Linked DNA regions of Nothobranchius furzeri. Each later gene encodes a partner of the first gene's protein in a complex. Links are inferred from orthologs where the notes say so. Each region holds a gene or a part of one and is shown in the gene's direction. Other genes may lie near its edges.

Region 1 (3,654 bases):
GCTCCATCTTTCCACCATTCTTAAACAAGACCCTGATATACTGATTTACTTTTTGTCTGTGAAGCACTTTGTGACTTGTGTCTGTGAAAAGTGGTATATATATATAAACTTCTTCTTCTTCTCCTTTTTAAAACTTTCCTCTTTGGGCTGGAACTTGTCCCTGACCTGGAACAGGTGTTCTACCCCTTTTTGACTCAAGAGCATGGTCTCAGATTTAGGCCCTGTCCACACGTAGCCGGGGATCTGCCAAAACTTAGATATTTTTCTACGTTTTGGCCTGTCATCCACACGAAAACTGAGTTTTTTTTTTCACACGAAAACGGATCTTTTTAAAAACTCTGGCCAAAGTGAAGACCTGCGTTTTCTCCATTTTGGGTGTCTGCGTGTGGACAGACAAAACCGGAGCTTTAAGGTCCGCAACGTCACGTTCCGCGACAAAAAAATGCTGACATCACGTGTGCGACCTGTGTTTACACTAGCCGACAGCATGGATGCCCACAGAGCTGCGCTCGCTTTATCAATTGTCCAAGCGCTTTCTGCTTGTTTGTTTTTGCAAGCGGAATTACTGCTCCTTGTGGAAGACCACAGACGAAGGACGAGGTTAAGAACGGGGGAAGCACTGCCGCCTACAGGTCTGGCATGTCCTTAACAACGTATTTATCCGAGTACGTGTGAACAGAGTTTTTTTTTTAAACGAGGTGGTGTGGATGCAAGTTTTTGGAGGGGCGGATATTCGTTTTTAAAAAAACCCGGCTACGTATGGACTAGGCCTTAGAGGAGCTGGTTCTCAGCTCAGTGATATAATAAATGCTAATTTGTGACACATGTGTGAGTCTCCTCTGTACGATAAACATTATGTCTGTATATTGCAAGAATGTAGAGAACCTTCACAGAACTAAGTTGAAGACATTTATAAATGATGTAGGAGAACATTAGACATCGTGGTGGATCAGAGCAAAGGGCTAAAGGCCAGAGTGTCAGTTCTGTCAGAGCTCAGTGAAAGAGGACAACTTCACTGAAATCTGAAGACATTGATTCTCCGAGGACAGGAAGATGTTTGGAGGTGTAAATATTTCATGCACTTCGGAGGAGTTAATAATGAAGCAATTAAAAGAATTTCCTTCCCACACAGTTCCAGCTGGTCTGTTTCCAATGTGCTGTTCATTAGCATGAATGACTCATGCACCGATCTAGGCCTCCTCCTTCATTTGGTTGTTCTCATCTGCCAATTTCTTAAACAGCCTCCTTAACCACACCAGTACAACTACAAATCCCACAATCCTTTGGAACAGCTCTGTTCTCCTAATCTACCTCCCTTCTCTCTTCTCTTCCTCCCCTCATCCCTACCTGTTTCTTATCCTCTTTCTCTTCCTTTTCCCTTCTTACTTCTTTTCTCCTTATCCTTGTTTCTCAATCTCTTGTCCTTCCTAAATCTTCTTTTTCCTCTTTATTTGTCCTCTTCCTTTGTCCTCCTCCTCCTCCCACCTCAGGCGTGGTGCAAGCTGGTGACAGCAGCATATAATTACTTTCATGTCACCAACTTCTTCTGGATGTTCGGTGAGGGATGTTACCTTCACACTGCCGTTGTTCTCACCTACTCCACCGACAAGCTCAGGAAGTGGATGTTCATCTGCATTGGCTGGGGTTTGTTCACCTTTTCCACCTGCTCTGCCGTCTCCCTTTTCCCGCCAGTTCTGTCCTCTCACCCGTCCATCCATTCTGGTCATAGGTATTCCGTTTCCTGTCATTGTGGCCTGGGCTTTTGGGAAGCTGTACTATGACAATGAGAAGTGAGTCACACAAAAACACTGAATCTATGTCTCAGTGGTCCAAGTGGAGCACAGGTTAATGCAACACATCTGTACCTGCCAGGTGTCATGTGACACCAACCTGAACTCTGCAGGTTAAGGATGTCACTGAGTTCCTGATGAAGTATGTTGAACAGAAGACTTTGTTTCATTGCAGCGGACAAAAATCCAGAATTTCATCAGTTCACAATGTCACAATCTCAATATTTGTCTGATTGATGTCTAATGGTTTCTGTGTTTTAACTGGAAGATGCTGGTTTGGAAAGAAGGCAGGTGTTTATACAGATTACATCTACCAAGGTCCGATGATCCTGGTCCTGCTGGTAAGCCCACCCTAAAGGATTAAGATCTTTTTCTTTATGTCTGTGAGATTATGACTAATCTTTATGCTGCCTTCTTGGACAAATAGTTGAACAGATTAGTTTTGACTGAACCCAGATCAATTGACTTTTATATCGGGTAACAACACTGGTCTCCTCAAAGCACTACACAAAAATTAGTGAGACAGTTTCAGATCCAGCCCAGATTTAGATCCAGCTAGATTATAATCTAGATCATGTAAACTGGAATCAGCAAATTTTATCTAATCTTCACCAACACAGCCCTTCATCCTGAGCAGAACAGTGGAGGGAAACTCTTTGAACAGAGAGTGTTTAGTTTTAATATGGGAGGGTTGAACAGGACACACTTCAACATTGTCACAAGTAAACTTCAATACAGGCTATGATTCAGTAGCTTCAATAAACATAATTTGTATAGTTAAAACAGAGAAACAGGACTGGACCCCTGAAACCATCACTATTGATGATCATTCAAAAGCAGCTGCAAGTTCTGCATTATCTTTTATTATTATCTAGGCTCCTCCCACTCAGTGGACAGGACACGCCTCAATATATCCATTTTTGATTATGTGAAAAGCTGACAGGAGTCAGGTCTTGTTCTAGTTGGATTAAAGCTCATGGTCTTTAATCAAGTGTTTGACACTAAGCCGATACACCTGTGGCGAAGCGGACAAACAGCCCACATATTGAACAGATCATCCTAATAGCATGATCAAAGCTGAAGGCAGGTGACTGTGACACAGGTTAGCATTCTGTTATCATGCTAATTATTTAACAAGAGGAACGAAACGTCCTTCAGAAATAGAACTGTGATGAACCATCTTTAGTCTGAGGAAACGGGAAAGAGACACTGATGCAGAAATGTTGGCCCTGTCAAGTTTTCAATAAAAAATAGAGAAAACCAAATCAATGGAAGCCATCCATTCATTTTCGGCCGCTTATCCGAGGTCGGGTCACGAGTGCAGTAGGCTAAGCAGGGAGCCCCAGACTTCCCTCTCCCCATCTTTTGTACTTTCTTGCTGTGTTTGTCTTCAAATTCCATTTTTGTTTTTGTTTTTTTAAACACAGATAAGGTTTTTCTTTACCTTGCTGACATTTCGTTTGCGGTTGCAAACATCTTCAGAGCTGACACGGATGGTGGCGTCACTTCCTACTCAGTTTATCCGTGGGCAGCAGAGGATGTTGTCGCCTTCTGCTGCCTGCTCTCCCCTCTCCCCAGCCACTTGGCTGGATTCTCATCCCAGCTGCTTCACACTCGGCTGCGAACCGCTCCAATGAGAGCTGGAGATTACTGGCAGCAACAACAGTAAATAAAACATGGAGAGTAAAGGCAGCAAAATGAATAAATGTGGTCAGTCTGTCCTCCAGCAGCATAACTAAAGGGATTAGAATATAAATACAGACACCTTCTGAAAACTGATTAATGAGCTGCAGCACAGCCCGGACCAACATACATTTCTGCCATTTTGAAAAACTAGAATTTAAAAAATGTCACCGTTTTATAT
Region 2 (3,225 bases), on another chromosome or scaffold:
CAGATCATTGCTTAAGAGAAAACCATATAATGGACTGGGACAACACACGGATCATAACCACCGAACAACAAAAATACAAAAGATGGATCAAGGAAGCAATCGAGATAAGGAGACGTGGATGTGGGACCATGAACAGGGACGACGGAGTTTACACGCTGGACCACGCATGGGACTGCATCGTCGGAGAGGGGAGAGCAGGCAGTAGAGGGCGACAAAGTCCTCTGCTGCCCGCAGATAAACGGAGAAGGAAGTGACGCGCCACCATCAGCGTCAGCCTGAAGAAGCCGGCAGCCGTCGGCGAAACTGGCTACAAACAGGTCAACAAAACTGTTTCTGTGTTTAAAAAAGAACGAAAGCATGGATTTAGAAAGACACAGCAAGAACACACCTAAGATGCAAGTCTAAAGTTTAAGTTAACAAACTGGAGTTCTAAGCAAATGGTAAATACCTGAATTTTATATAGTTCCTTTCAGAGTCCTATCATCCACTCATTGACACACACATTCACACCCTGGTGTTGATGAGCTACATAGTAGCCACAGCTGTCCTGGGGCGCACTGACAGAAGCAAGGCTGCTGAGCACTGGTGCCACCGGTCCCTCCGACCATGTGGGTTACGTGTCTTGCCCGAGAAAATATGACTGCTTTGCTAGAAGGAGGATTCAGTAAAACAAGAATAAAGCTCAAAAAGACTTGATCGGAAAAAAAGAGGATGTAAATGAATTATTCATCCTCACCTCAGGCTATCAAAATGAATGTTTAAATAAAATGTTGTATTTGTTCTTAAGGTACATCTCAGAGACAAAACACAAGTCTAAAGTCTAAAAGATCTGTGAAAAAGTCAACATCATTCAGTTACAAAAAGCTTGATGTGTTTTACAGACGTTGGATTAATAAATACAAAGCACTGCACAAAAATAGCAGCACTTGTCAGCAAAGAATCACTGGGAGCATCACCTCTCCATGAGCCCAGGGTGCATGCATCACAGGTCAACAGATTAAGAATCGTTATTAATGCACTGTGCAGAAGTGGGTTCGTATTGGAATGCACCCCCAAATCCCCCCTTAGCGTTTCCACGATCATTTTGGGAATAATAAATCAGAAATTACATACTGGAACATCTAATTCTTTAAAGATCAACAGCAGATTAAACAAATGATGTTTGAAGCTGGTCTCTGCCCTAAGCTACCCTCAACTTCTGACTTGTGCCTTCTTGGAATCTAAGAATCTAACTCATTCAGGTGTGGCACCTAACCCCCACCCCCACCCCCCCACCCCCACACACACACCTTCTGAAAGCACAGGGGTCGACGCTCGTGCACGCGCACGCACGCTCACTTATGACTCATCTCATCTGAACCAAAGCACTTTAGAGGCGTCCATTCACGTTCCACCCAGGCAGGAGCGCGCAGACTCAACGTCGGCTCAGAGACGCACTTGTAGTGACGGTGGCTATATAAGTGCCATTCAGCATCTCCTCTTTAAGTAACTAGATGCTTGTTTCTTCAAAGAAGTGAAAGAGGGCGGCACCTCACCGAATACCTGGCAACCTACACGGCTGTAGGCGACTGGACTACCTGCAGTGAAGGTATGGAAAGGGTTTTCCTATTCTAACCTCCACTTTCTGTTACAGGTTAATTCATAATGTTCATTTGATTTGATTACTCTAATTCTTCAGATAAATACATATGAATTTGTATTTCGGTTCTCAGTGAAAGTATTTCCCTCGTTTTGTTTGCTTTGTTTCTAAAAGTCATGTTTGGAACCAAATCCGAATTTGCGCGCAGATCGTTTTTTGCTCCAATCTCCCGTCCCCCATGTCATTAATAATAAAAATAGTCAGCGAATCACATCAATATTAGTTCAATGTTACCCTAAAATATAAGTTAAAATGACTGATTGTTCAAGTGTCTGTTTTGCGTGCGCAAAAGCATCTTTACGCAGCGCCATTTGCGCGCGTACATTAACACTAACCCAAAAATGTGTCCTCTTTGTCTTTTGTTCTCAGATTCCAGCTGATATCCTGACATGAAGCTCAATTTATTTGGTACCACCGTGATTCTGCTTGTTGCCTTCTTACCGCGCCACGAATGTCGGGCTATTGAGAGCCCAGGCGGCACGCTGCGCGTACCAGCTCCCCAAGCCCAAAACTCCCAACAGCAGCCTCAGCACCAGTCTGGTCCTATTCTGGAGCGCCTGGGAGAGGAGTATTTCATCCGACTGGGAAACGGGGACTCGAACTCATTTCCAGCCACGTCCTTGTATCCCGGCGGATCATCTTCCATCTTCAACAGGGCGCTGCAGCTCCAGCTGACGCGGCGCCTCTTGCAGGGGAAAGTTGGGAACATCCGGGCGCTGATAAGCGGCTTCGCAGGCCCCGGAGACGAGTCGATGGAGAGGGGAAGACGGTCCGAGGACCCACCGATCTCCCTGGACCTGACCTTCCACCTGCTCCGGGAGATGATGGAGATGTCCCGGGCGGAACAGCTGGCGCAGCAGGCGCAAAACAACAGAAGGATGATGGAGCTGTTCGGAAAATGAAGACCTCATTCCAACCCGCCAAAGATCTCAGTCTCCTCAGTTTTTATTTATTTTTTATTTATTTATTGTTCTTAGCACAACAACGTGCCATGTGCAACATAGTGCTGCTTTTTCACTTCATGATTTCTAGCTTTAACCTGAAATTATGGAGCATAAACGGACCTGAACGGGTCAAGTTTCACATCTTACAACACATCTTTGTTTGATTTCCATAAACAGGAAATGGTATTTTGTTTTAGACCATAAGAATCACTGTACTTATGACGTTTATGTTTGTTAATAAACTTATGTGCAAACAGAAATGTTCTGTTGTGCAAACATATATTTTTTAATAAAACAAATAAAATCAATGCTTAAACTTCTCTGTCAATATCCTTACATATAACTGAATAGAAACTAACAGAAATAAATGCTAATTTAATCAAAAAACAAGAAATCCTCTTTTTAAATCTGACACATTAAAATAGGTATTAAAAAAGCTAAAGTTTGCTGCATCCTGCCAAAACAGACACTCAATAATATATATTTGCTGCAAATGTAAAAAGTTACATTTTTGCACAGAAAAATATGCAACCCCTGCAGAACATTTGAACAAGCAAGCTTTAGGATCTCCTCTGTTCATGTGGGCTATCACAATAAGCGTGCAGCTCAATCCTCAAGAGGTAATTCTCATTATGCCAGCAA

Evidence for each region. Proteins that work in one complex are often made in the same cells at the same time.
Region 2: the proteins of crhr1 (region 1) and crhb are in contact, whole or in part, in a cryo-EM structure (PDB 6P9X), measured with the Homo sapiens proteins. The link is inferred for Nothobranchius furzeri from reciprocal best matches to the Homo sapiens genes CRHR1 and CRH. Residues at the interface, in NP_004373.2 of Homo sapiens: Lys113, Tyr116, His117, Ala119, Val120, Asn123, Trp169, Val172, Gln173, Met176, Ser177, Pro178, His181, Thr192, Tyr195, Asn196, His199, Phe203, Phe260, Gly261, Lys262, Tyr267, Tyr272, Gln273, Met276, Ile277, Leu280, Tyr327, Phe330, Phe331; in NP_000747.1 of Homo sapiens: Glu156, Pro157, Pro158, Ile159, Ser160, Leu161, Asp162, Leu163, Thr164, Phe165, His166, Leu167, Leu168, Arg169, Glu170, Leu172, Met174, Arg176.

What each region holds. Positions count from the first base shown.
Region 1 is NC_091746.1:33,510,638-33,514,291, forward strand, and holds part of crhr1 (corticotropin-releasing factor receptor 1), read left to right. Parts: intron 1-1,490; coding exon 1,491-1,644; intron 1,645-1,729; coding exon 1,730-1,790; intron 1,791-2,058; coding exon 2,059-2,131; intron 2,132-3,654.
Region 2 is NC_091747.1:51,584,468-51,587,692, reverse strand, and holds crhb (corticotropin releasing hormone b), read left to right. Parts: upstream 1-1,450; 5' UTR 1,451-1,588; intron 1,589-2,008; 5' UTR 2,009-2,028; coding exon 2,029-2,541; 3' UTR 2,542-2,676; downstream 2,677-3,225. UniProt on the Homo sapiens protein: Hormone regulating the release of corticotropin from pituitary gland. Induces NLRP6 in intestinal epithelial cells, hence may influence gut microbiota profile.